Neodiprion lecontei: one gene and its partner. The protein of the gene in region 2 interacts with the protein of the main gene of each other region in a pairwise test. Links are inferred from orthologs where the notes say so. Each region holds a gene or a part of one and is shown on either strand. Other genes may lie near its edges.

Region 1 (6,607 bases), about 20 Mb from region 2:
CATCTCGCCATATTCAATATAATTACGACCTACTACTCAAACTCACTTCCATTGTGACTTTCAGAGTTTTGAGATCTGTATGGTGCTCACAGTACTCTGACAAAATCCTCGTTAATCTTTCGCACCACTTGGCACACCCGATATTGGTCAAGAGTCCTGGCAAGCTGGACATGTAAGCATGTCGCAAATGGGCATCTTGTTCGAACTCCATACTACTCAGTAACGACAAGATGACGTCATCTCGTATAGTCCACTGTAAGGGGCAAGTTTTTTGCTTAATTAAAACAATTATGAAATACTGATAAGAATGTTGGTAGAAGGGAATCCGTCTATAGGCATATTATTCGTACTTGTAGAGAATCTGTGTTGTTGTAGTATTCCAATGTTGACAAAAGGCTCCTTATGCAAGAGTACAACGGGATAATGTATGCCACTTCTCGAATAATTAACAACCTCTTCAAGGCATCGTATATCACCTCTGCGTATCCAGTATCCACAAGCTCTTTCCTCTGAAAATGCAGTGATCCTAGTACCAATTTATCAGTATTAAGATTGTGTGATTTACACATTCTTTCAGATTGAAAAAGAGTTCAGTCACCCTCATCATGGTCAAAAGAAGTCTATCATTAGTAATCGTAGAGTTCGCAGGTTCGCGTATATCTAAATGGTTCTAAAAAGCAAAGTATTGTAACAATTTTTCTTAAAAAAAGGTGATCTATCAATGCCTGCTAGTACCAGTAACTTCATTGCAAAGAAATTAACTGTAGTTAGAAAATACACTACCATTTGTGCGTGTTGTAAAATCTTCCCAATACATTTTATTCCAGTCAGTCTATTTTCAACAACGTAATCATCCAAGATTATCAGCGCGGTTGGTATTATACTGTTCATGTGACGGACAAGATTAGGTTCCTGTAAATACAAAAATGCATGAGGTTGGAGATGATATCGTTGGCTGCCACAAAATGTGAACATGACATTCAGTTACTTGAAATGTTTCACGGTTTAGGAGTGGAACTGAGAATAAGTTATTATTTAAAAGCAAACTTGAAGCTCATTCAATCTATTATTCCATATACTTAGTTTTTCCAGAGATGACTTTATTTTCATATGTTTGTTACGTTGTTGTTACAAACTTTGAAACTGAAAGAAATTCTTTGATATCAACACATAACTAACCAAAAGTCATGAGTGCAGGGGTTTGACCAACCTCTACTTGCCATAATATCCACTTGTAACAAATTACAGCCGCAGGATAATTCTTCCAAGTATCCTTGAAGAGCTTTGGCCTAAGAACGAGGAGCACTGCCTCAATTACGCCACTGCCATCCACACTAGATCCCTCGCCTCCCTTTCCGACTAATAGCTCGGACATGGATCGACACTTGCAGAGATCGCAGAGGTTAGATTGAATGGAGCTGACTATGGACACCGACTCTGCGGTGTTCCACACGTTCTTCTCGCTCTGTTCGCCGATGATGATAATCAAGTTTATCAGGTAAGTGCGAAGGGGGTGACTCCGCGATGCAGTTTCCCTGACGTTTTGCTCCCCAAAAGTCGTTGCTACGTGACGAAGCGTAGCCTCCACATTCCGCAAATTTCTGTTTACGATCTGCCTGTACTCACTGTAATCCTTTTCTTCGCAGGGTCGTTCATTTCCAATTTTTTTACACGGTACCAACGTGCCCTCGGTCAGCTGAACGCAACTTCTCCATAAATCGTCGTTTAATGTGTTGCCAGTTATCTTCATCGACTCCAATTCACGGAGCAGGTCGTTCATCATAGAGCGGATCGGTTTCCTAGAAATTACAAGATTGCGGCAGCGCCCTGGAGGACTATAAAAAAAGAGTTTGACCGCTCCTCTATCTGTTAACCTTAAAATTTGATTCAAGATTTTCTACCATCCCGCACAACGCATATCGCAGGGACAGAGTCGATCAGCGAGGCGCGATCGTCCGATTTTCGATTTTCGAGTTATGTTTCGAGGGCCGATCGGTCGAACATAGACCGTAGACCATGCTTAATACGGATGTTGGATCATTGAGCATAGACTATAAACGGGATTCACTAAATTCGGTTCCTACGCTACGGTAGTGCTGCATAGTGAGCATCGGTTGATTATTTGATTTTTGATAATACTCTCTGGTTAATATATTGATTGAGAATATCGGTAAATATGAATTAATGCAACCAGCAGTAGTAGCTGTTTGTTGATAATGGCTGAGTACCGTTAGTTTATTTTCTAAATATTTTTCTTAGCTACTTTTTCCTACGTCAGTTCCACAGTATCCGCGCTGTCGTTTGCTTTTGACGTGAGGCACACGCATTGTCACGCCCATCTTGATTGTAACCACACTGACACGTATCTTGTAATTGCTCACTTCACCCTGTTTGACCGCGACTCTATTCGTAAGCACCATTTTCGACACCATTCTCTTCCTAATTAATATTCATCACCTATCAATATTCGTTTTAGGCCGAGAGATTGTCTCTGTATTGTTGAATTCACTTGCTCCTAAAAAATTCTCGCATGTTCAAAACAGCAATAATAAACATTCTTTCCCATTTACCTATCACTTGTTATCAATAACTACAGTTTACTCGCATCCTCTCTTCACAGTAATTGCAATTATTCATTAAGAATTGAATCTTTTTGCAGACCTGAAATTGTCACACAGCTATGCTTTGCCTATCTTACAAATGTTTTGTAATTAATTAGAGAAACAGGCTTAACCTTCTCAATTAATAATTAACTAGCAACAAATCTAACTAAGGGTTAAGAATAGTATTGGTCTTATATAGTTTGTTGCGATGCGAAGTTATCAGAAATTCTGAGCCTATCAAAGAGTTACGGTTCCTTTTTTTTTTGGCAACCCTGTATGTGCATCCAAATATACTCATTATTTTTTAATAGAAAAATAGGCGATCAACACTGACTGATTTTTTAATTTATTGCAGGCAGTTCAGACTCGTATCGTGTGTCTTCAGGAGTGGGAAGCGATTCTGAAGTAATGGCAGAATTAGCGGCACTTTTGCGCCATGAAATCCCCGATGGGAGAAGCCACCTGGCCGATAGTCACACAAATTTGGAGCGAGTAGCAGAGTATTGCGAGGCAAATTATTTCCAAGCCGAGAACAAACGGCTAGCTCTTGAAGAAACTAAAAATTACACAACTCAGTCACTTGCCAGTGTTGCATATCAAATAAACACGCTGGCTTATAACTTTCTGCAGTTGTTGGATCTACAGACTTCGCAACTTGCGGAAATGGAAAGTCAGATGAACCACATTGCTCAGACAGTTATGATTCACAAGGAAAAGGTTGCCAGAAGGGAAATAGGTGTTCTTACTGCGAACAAAATGACCACGAGACAGTATAAGATTATTGCACCGGCAAATCCTGAAAAACCTATAAAATATGTAAGGAAAAGCATTGATTACACCATCTTGGATGAGATTGGTCATGGTGTACGAAGCGGAGGTACTCCTAGAAGCAAACAGCGTGGGGGGAGCCAGGGCAGTGTACAAAGTCTCGGTGCCGCTTCGACTGGTTCTGGTTTAGGTGCAGTCATTGTGGGTCCAGCACCTACTACGAAGCCACCAACTCCACCACAAACAGTCCGAACAGGTAATCAGTTCGTTTTAATAACAGAGATGTAGCCATTGAATAGCTAAACCAAATAGTTTTAGAATTCAAAATATTTTCTAAATATTTTTGATCAACTTTCTATTGGCACTTATTGTTTTCAGGAACACTGAGTAAGGGCTCCCGTGAGTACAGAACACCACCCGCAGTGGCTCCACCCCAAGTTCCCAGTCACTATGCACCCAATTACCCCTTAGGTCATCCTAGACGGGAACGAGGACCCGGTTATAGTACATTGCCACTCCACGCTCATACCACCCCGCATCCCTCTCATGGGCTTCAGCATACAGCTCATACTGCTACTCTTACTCAACACACTCTACCTCCCCAAGTTGGAACTGTTCATCCACTTCAAAGCCATCCGCAAACTCCACCTCCCGCTCCACCCAGTATCACTGGAGCTGCAGGCTATGTCCAAGAACATCTCAACAGCATGCCACGTAAGTAGGTTTATAATTCTCTTAATGACTTAAATAATTTAACTTCGAGCTCTAACGTCAGGTATTGATCCATATGTTGTATTGTCACTACTAAACTATGCTATATGTAATGCAAGTATGATTTACTCGCCTTTTTTTGACTGCGTTCCAAACTTAAAGTACAAGAACAAAGCAGTTTGATGTTCTAGTACTCAAAAGTGCATTTTGGTGTACTTTATGATAACAATCTATGCGCAAGCGATATACTTGGTATATAAAGTATCGTGTGCATCTTATATTGTAAACTTACACTCAGCGTAAATGGACCCACTTTACCTACTTGATGCACAATGTACTATTGTTTGTCAATGAATGATTAATACGATAAAAATTTTTGGCATGATTTCTCAGAAAATAGTAATTGTCAGTTGTGTATTGTCACAGCCTTCCCTGGCTTGTGTTTCGCGAGTTCTGTTGGCTTGTATGGCCAGAACAACAGAAACAGTGATAAAATAGTTTCCTGCACACATTCTCTGATTTTGCTTAATAATTAAATGCAGATTAACTTGCAGATGATCTGCATATCATGTTTTTTTTTATCTTACAGCACCTCCCTCGCCGCTAGTTGGCTCTGGGGGTGAAATGACTAATTACAGTGGTCACCATACTCTGCCGCATCGACTATCTCATCAAGTTAGCCGCAGCAGTGGAGCAAGCAGCCCTCCATTGCCTCCACCGCCACCCCCTGAACACGACGAACATTCTCAATTTGGAAGACCACAGCAACCATCTGGTGCTATTATGCCGATTGTGCCAGATGAGGAAGACTTACCTGGATGGGTACCAAAGAACTATATTGAGAAAGGTATAAATTATAAAACCGAATACTCAGTTACGTTAATCAGTTTTATCCCCGTTTTATGATTGGAATGTAGGAGGTTCGTTTTGTCTTGTTCCAGTGGTGGCCATTTATGATTATTATGCCGATAAAGAAGATGAATTGAGCTTCCAAGAGAGTTCGGTTATCTATGTTTTGAAGAAGAATGACGATGGATGGTGGGAAGGCGTAATGGATGGAATAACTGGACTATTTCCTGGGAACTACGTAGAACCCTGCGTTTAGAATACCTATTTCCTTTCTAATTTGGATCAATTAGTTTTTGTATGATGAGTACTAGTGGTTAATAATCGAATATTACAGTTACAAAATTGTTGTACGATATATGAATCAGTGATTTGAAACTGCACTTTTGCGGTCCAAGAGTCTTTGCATTTGAACACTATTTCGTACGTGTTTGTTCCGCTTGTTATATGAAGTGACGAGATCTTTGCGGGTATTTCAAATGCGAGGCTATCTCCAAACGCGCTATATTGCCGATTCATTGAAACTGATATCCTTGTAGTTTTTGTTACCAGACCACTTCGGAAACAATATCGTACATATGGCTTCAGTAAATTAATTCGTAATTATTGTTTTACTCCTTGGCTCTTCTGAGAAAATAATTCCGTAGTGTCATGAACTTTCTATGAATCCTGAAAAAAGAATTACTCTGCAACTCCTGTAACTTTAGACTAATATTTGAAATGTAAAATAATCAATGAAATCGATCTGGGTGAATAATTTTTTTTTTTTTTGTATGAAATTAGTAAAGAGTACATTCTATATACCAAACTGAAGAAAAATATATTGTAGGTCACAAGTAATTGTGTCCTATATCATAAAATAATAGTCTACTTATTAGGTGTAGTAAATCGCTTTATATGCCTGGAGGTATATCAGAGCGGCCTAGGATAGCTATATTATGAGTGTATAAGTTGACATTATACCCATCTTTTCAAGTTGTTTGCTAATCGTGGGATACTTCTATGCGTAAGGATTACACATAATAGACTGCGATTGTTAAACTACATAAGATTGAATGGAACCTTGTTTACTCTGAATAAACGAAATATTCAGCATACGGGTCTTCACTTGATTCACCTTTTTTTCGAGCGAAAACTTAATGATTTGGGATAACATTCAATCTTTTCCTTACTGATTGGAACCCCAGGAACTCAGAAAACGCAACGGAAAGAGCGTAGGACCAACAGAAGAGAAATGGCGAATAAAATTCTTCGTTTTTCGGCTGTAACATTTCACAGAATGATCGCAGCTCATTGGGACCACGCCTAATCGATTTTTCTCGCAAAATTACGTCGGAATAGTGCCACAATCAATTTATTCCAGCACTTTTGAAAATCGCGAAAATTTTCGCCAAAAATACAAAGGGGTTAACCTTCTTTTTTTTTTGACCAGAAAATTTTTCGTCTCAGAATTGATTCGTATGACTCTTTTCCGACCAATTGGACCCCAAGGAACTCAGAAAACGCAGCAAAAGAAGCGTGGGATCAACGGGAGAGAAGATACAAGGAAGAAAGCACCTGCTGAAAAATGTCGAAAATTCAGGTTTTCGTTTTTTGGCTGTAACTTTCGATGCGTTGATCGCAGCGTATTGGGACTGCGCCCAATCGATTTCTCCCGCAAGATTGCGTTGGAATAGAGC
Region 2 (6,326 bases):
ACGTAATTTGAGGTTATGACGCGGGGGATTTCGATAGCGCTGACAGCCGTTTAGCTCACCTTTATGTTGTGCCAATCTGGTTCATAGCTGTGCATGTAATTTACAATTTCTCTCGCATTCTCAGCGTTCAATTTATCGAATAGTTTGTCGAGTTTTTCTTTGCTGGGTTCGACGAACTGAAAAATGCGGCAGAACAATTACGATTTAATCGATCTTAGCGATACGGATTCAATGATAAAAAATTTTCTACGCATAGTTTACACTTTACGCAATTGATCTTCACCTCGTTATTTCTCGCTAATTCACTCAGTACTTGTTTATTTTCATCAATTGTATTCACTCGTTCAATTAGACCTCCGACCATCATCGCCATTTTGATAATTCTACCAGCTATCACTTTGCCTCTCTGAAGTTGTAGAGATTGGCTTCGGCGACAACGTGAATGTAGCTATTATTGCGTACTTTAAATCAGTTCGTTATGCATTCGGTGAAAAGTTTGTGGATAATGAGAGACGTTCGATTTTTTGTCAACTTGTCATTCGTGGGAACCACAAAGTAATAGTAACTTCGTGATGGGAACGAAAATATACCAGACTTATTCCATGCGGTAATATTCAGTCAATAATAGTAAATTCAAAAACAAATATTTTACATATATTATCCTCATAATAACATATCCCACGGAAATGTTTTTATACAATATTATAATTTACACAACAGAGCTTCAAGCAGCACCATTCTCAACACAGCATTAATTATAATGTATCACAGAACAGTACGAGAAATGAAACGGAATGACCGTAAGATTACAAATAGTTTGCTAGTTCCTTACTTTCTGCATTTTTCTGGTTTTCCATGCATGTTTATCATCCTGTTCACAAATTTCACAAATTCTTGATTGCACTAGTCTTGTGAATTGTGGGCATTGAACAAAAACATAAGCGTGATGATACGCGAATGCTGAGTTAATTATTCCTGATAATTTCAGCCAAACCTTAAGGTAGAGGAAAAAAAAAATAATACCATTTGATTATTTGGTACATAACCATGGCTGTTTCTATTATAACTCGCTATTCAATGCATGACCAAATCAATATGTATAATTGTGTTACGATTAGCAAATAAATTGCGATTCGACCTACGATGACATAGTCGATACATTTGAATTTGTATCTGAATTACAGCCGTTGTCAGTTCCTTGGAATAAATATTTAAAATGCTGTACATATGTTTGACAATGTTCCCCTCTTGTGAAAGCAGTTGTGTTATGGAGTCTCAAATTGCGATTTTCGAAGAACTTATAAACGGAGTGAAACAACTTAGGATCGTTCGAGGTCTTTGCTGCTTCCAAAAATTTGCGAGCAGAAACCTGATCGATTATTCCGACCGATCTGACATACCTGTAATGGAAAGATATGTATTTTCTCCAGGCGGATCACCTTGAAATATGAAATTTCATTTTTACAATTGTAAGATGCATTTTCAAGGGTGTTCAGCTCACCGTAATGCCGGTAATATGTGTCCTTTGGATAGCAAGACTTCCATTATTTCTTCGTGAGCATTTCCTAATCGCTTGAGCATATCTAGCGCAAGTTGGTGAGCAGCTGGATAGAGACTTTCCAAAGACAGTAGAAGACAGGCGAGTGGTTTTGAGTCAGCGACAACGTGATACTGTAGCAACTGATGCAGCTGATAGTAAGCCTTCCGGTGAACCAAAGTCGTGATTACCAATTCATGGAGGTAGTGCTGAACAGGTATATCATGATCGGCCAGAGACCTAAGGAAAAAAAATCGGAGAAAGTTCATTGAGAGATTTTATACCCAGGGAGCTATACGCTGAAAAAAAAAAAAACTCTTTTCAAACTACACTTTTCGTCAAGGCATGTACCTAATGTATTCCAACAGTATCCAAACCACCATTTTTGGCTCTGTCGTGTCCTCGGGAAACTTTGACAATATGTAAGTGTACATATCGCTCTGATCAATTATTTGTTTGTATTTAATGTTTTCTGACACTGTGGCGACACCTTTGGACCCAATTTGCAGCGGCGTTCCCATCTGTCGATTGATCGATAGAAGATGAATGTGCAATGGGTTTTTTATCGCTATTATTCATCACAATGGTCACTTACTTGGCTTTGCAACTCATTTTCGAGGTGGTTACGATAAACAGTGTTCAACTTATCAAAAATCGTTGACATGTACAACAAGCTTGACGGTAGCTGAGTAACATTTTCCTTCACAACTTGCATCAAAACCTGCTTGGAATCATTTCGTTGCATTAAAAACTCAACGAGCAGTACTTTGTCGGGGATTAATTTTACCAACGATTCAAGTCGCAGCTTAACAAACCTGTGAATTAATCGACAACTTCTTTACTCCATGCATCTTTTAAACTCCTAGATTGAAAACAAGTTGAATATTTTTCTCATAAACTTACCAAAGGCATCCTAATTTTGCATCGATTATTATATTTGGTTGAAAAACAACCCAGCCAGGGGAATCTAAGAGAAATTAAGTAAAACGCTTGGTGATCAATGTTGTTATTTTTATAATCATTATCTTTTTTTCAAAAGGATACAAAGTAGACAGGGCTGAGATAATTGCTCTAGCAGAGTCGTGCCAGGGACCTTCAAACTGTATGGTCTTATCGGCTTGGGTGCAGCTATACTGGTATGATGCATCACAGTGCCGTCGCTCACTCCCGGCAATTTAATGTCAAAAATCATCGAAGTCTGTAATTTATCAATCAATTACTCTCGAGATAAAACTCAAAGACTGCCATGTTTCAATGGTAAGAAAAAGTGCTTCGAATTGGTTCACAATCAGTAATGAAAAATGATGCTAAACTGCTTCTATAAAATAAGCAGTACATATCAGCAGATTTATCTCCTACCAGTCAATAGTCTGAAAAAAATACCGTTTTCAAAAAGGTAGTTCTTTGTGAACAAGACTTACTTCGGATGCTTGGTGATGCACAATTATAAGATTGTCGATAACATTGATTGCGAATCGGCCACTAGTGTCGAGTTTTAAAATGTGGCTCTTCTTTATCGTGAGCATTCTGAAACATTGGATCATCAATGAATCATTGAGAGTACTTTGAAAGAGGTAAAATCGGAGAAAAAGCAAATTACAAAATTACTTATGCACTGTGTAGACGTAGACTTGAGCCGTACCAAGGCTTCGATTGATTCCTGGTTGATGGCGCAGCACAATTATTGATGGGGTTCCGTAAAGAACTGCCAACGCTACATCTCTCTCCGAAACTGCGAGCTTCCCAGGTTTCGTGGCTCCAGCCTCCACTGAAACAATGCAATATCTATCTCCGTTAATCGGCTAATCAATCTCCAAAGTTAATCCCGAGAAGTTTGTCTCACTTTCAAATTTGGTGAGCTTGTGCAAGTTTCCAGGAGTGATATGCAGCGCTTGCATTTGGTTGCCGATGGTACCAGACGAGAGGAGAACGAGGTAGCTTTGAGGGCAGAAGACAAACCAATTGACTCCCAAACTGAGGGATTTCAGTGCTTTGACAGTTCGCTTCTCTGGAACCACCTAAAAAATATAGAGTATTATTGATCTAACATCTACACAGACTTATATGGTGCTTTTTACAGTGATCACACATGGAGGAAAAGTAGGTAGAAAAAAATCTCTGCCTGATACTCACCAAAAACAGTTCCACTCCGTGATCTGTGACGAATAAAATTTCATTGCTGTGTGTCCAGACGAAGCCTAAGATAGAGGCATTCTTTCCTTTACAAGTCTGCGAGTATTCCACATTGTCCAATCCGGAGGCCGATGAGTAATTGATGAACTCGACAGAAGTATTAGTCCGTTGTATAGCAAGGATGTTCATGTCGAGCGAGAACTTGATTGAGATTATGGGACCCTTGTCTTCCATTCTGAAATTCAAATTGTGCTCCGGACCCTTGACCAGGACCCCGATAACGCCCTCTGAACGAACAGCGAATACCTACAGCATGAATTTTGCAGCTGTCAAGGGGCTATCAAACGAGGGATAATCCATCATTAATATTTTAGGTTATCAATGCAGTTTAAGAAAATCCAAATAAAGAGACCTGCTTGTTCGTGTCATCGAAGAAAACATTTGTCAACGGGCTGATCGATTCGAATCTCACAGGATCAGGCGACAATTCGAGGTAATAATCATCGTTTCCTTCACTACTTGTTGATTCCATTTTTCGCTATTTGACAGCTCGCAGAAGACTAACACAACCTGATTCACACGTATCAGTAAATTCGCTTACACAGCAAAAGCCACGTCATTGGTTATTTCCAATTTACTCGAAGATACAATTGGCTGAAAACATCAGGGCTCCTGCGACTTGTCATTAACGAAACTACCTATGGATGATGGTCGGTGAGAAAGGTACAACTGCAATCGTCGCTATATGGTAGGTGACGATTTGTGCAATGGTAGCGTCGTCTAGCGGAGATTGAAGATTCTAATAAAACTGGGCCTCATCATCATCACATTCTAATGCCATCATGGTGACAATCGACGTAACCTACGTGTGTTGAAGATCATCCCATAAATTCTGCAATATAGAGGTGAGTCATTGCAAAATATCAACGGTTTTTACGATTAAGTAATGTGGTTCGCCGTTAACGGTTCCGATTAAGTATCGTGGTTACAAATGTCCCGGTACTTGGAGCGTAGGTACAGACTCCGCGATGTTCTAACCTCTAATTGCGATCCCACGACAATTTATTGATGATCACTAATCAACCGGGGAATTTTCAGTTTTCCAATGATTTTTCTTATCCCCATGATAATTTTTCCCAACTATCAGCTTTGTTGCCGTTTAAATAATATCAATATATTTCTAGTCATTTAGTTGTCACAAAGATCGTTCTTATTTCATTCTTACAGTAAACGATACTATAACTTGTATTGAATCGAATGATAATAAAAAAGAACTTCTACAAAACATAGAATATTGCTTGTATACAACGGCGCAATCACAAAATAGGATAAAAATGAATAAATGTTTTTTTCGTTTCATTTATGAAGCTTTGTTCACTCGTTTTCAGATCGTTGTGCAATGGCTGATGAGCAGATGCCAAAAATCCATGAAGGGAAAAACTTTCGTAAACTAACGCTTGTCGAACAAGAGTACATGCGACTTATAGAAGAGAGGAATCTTGAGAGAGTGGCCAGCTTGAAACGAATGCAAAGAAACAACAGATATACCGGTCTAGCGCTAGGAGCATTGGTTCTAGGAATATACGGGTACTCCATGTATGCAGTTCGCCAGGAAAATTTCCTTGATGATTTCGAAGAGCCAGTAAAAACGACAGAATAACAATTATCGTGAAGGCAACGATAATATAGGATTAGATATATTCATAGGTTGTTACGATCTAACATTGAAAAAATATACAGAAAATAATAAGTTCACACCAAAATGACCATTCTAAGATTACCTCCGTTGCCCACAATAAGAGATTTGGTTAAACTGTATCGCCTTCAAGCGCGTAAACAGTTGTCCCAAAACTTTTTAATGGACGAACGTCTCACAGATAAAATCATCAAAACAGCAGGTAGAATAAAAGATGGACATATATTGGAAGTCGGACCTGGACCAGGGGGATTGACGCGATCGATAATGAGAAAGTATCCACAGAGGTTAATAGTAGTTGAGAAAGACAATAGATTTTTGCCTACGTTGCAGCTACTCCAAGAAACATTTCAAAACGTCAATGGCGAAATGGAAATAATCATAGGAGATATATTGAATGTAAATTTGAACTTGTTTCCTGAGTGTGAGAAAAAAAGCTGGGAAGATATTCCACCAAGGATTCATTTGATCGGTAATCTACCATTCAGCGTATCGACTCATCTTATTATCGTCTGGCTTAAAGCTATCTCTGAGAAAAGTGGACCGTGGGCCATGGGAAGAACCAAAATGACACTCACATTTCAAAAGGAAGTTGCTGAACGCCTCGTCTCAGAAGCATACGCTCGGGATCGCTGCAGATTGTCAGTCATGGCACAGACTTGGACCAAACCGCATCTAAAGTTTGTCATTCCCGGTGAGTAAACATTTTGGTTTTGCTAGTACTGTATTAATTTAAAGCAGAGACGTTTTTATGCTTATATTTTTGGATGGATCGACTCAGAATTCACTCAAAAATTCCTCATCTCATTACCACCTGTTTTGCTGCAGGCAAAGCATTTGTTCCACAGCCTGACGTGGATGTCGGGGTTGTGACATTTACACCGCTGGTACAGCCTGGTACAAACCATGAATTTGATTTATTTGAAAAAGTTACCCGGCACATGTTCAGTTTTCGTCAGA

What was found.
Region 1: the proteins of regulator of MON1-CCZ1 complex (region 2) and abl interactor 2 interact in a two-hybrid assay, tested with the Caenorhabditis elegans proteins (2 studies listed by BioGRID). The link is inferred for Neodiprion lecontei from reciprocal best matches to the Caenorhabditis elegans genes Y50D4A.4 and abi-1.

The regions. Positions count from the first base shown.
Region 1 is NC_060263.1:284,323-290,929, forward strand, and holds abl interactor 2, read left to right. Parts: upstream 1-2,068; 5' UTR 2,069-2,216; coding exon 2,217-2,229; exon of another isoform or gene 2,230-2,246; intron 2,247-2,273; exon of another isoform or gene 2,274-2,409; intron 2,410-2,958; coding exon 2,959-3,627; intron 3,628-3,749; coding exon 3,750-4,085; intron 4,086-4,671; coding exon 4,672-4,929; intron 4,930-5,023; coding exon 5,024-5,187; 3' UTR 5,188-6,023; downstream 6,024-6,607. Other genes in the region: TELO2-interacting protein 2, read right to left, coding at 47-274, 351-509, 784-912, 1,211-1,783.
Region 2 is NC_060263.1:20,634,069-20,640,394, reverse strand, and holds regulator of MON1-CCZ1 complex, read right to left. Parts: upstream 4,384-6,326; 5' UTR 4,203-4,383; coding exon 4,083-4,202; intron 4,008-4,082; exon of another isoform or gene 3,977-4,007; coding exon 3,671-3,976; intron 3,556-3,670; coding exon 3,381-3,555; intron 3,306-3,380; coding exon 3,146-3,305; intron 3,065-3,145; coding exon 2,959-3,064; intron 2,736-2,958; coding exon 2,582-2,735; intron 2,505-2,581; coding exon 2,441-2,504; intron 2,353-2,440; coding exon 2,133-2,352; intron 2,059-2,132; coding exon 1,889-2,058; intron 1,778-1,888; coding exon 1,502-1,777; intron 1,401-1,501; coding exon 1,143-1,400; intron 995-1,142; coding exon 985-994; 3' UTR 633-984; downstream 1-632. Other genes in the region: transcriptional regulator ATRX-like, read right to left, coding at 60-176, 284-373; cytochrome c oxidase assembly factor 3, mitochondrial, read left to right, coding at 5,070-5,330; dimethyladenosine transferase 1, mitochondrial, read left to right, coding at 5,433-6,060, 6,195-6,326.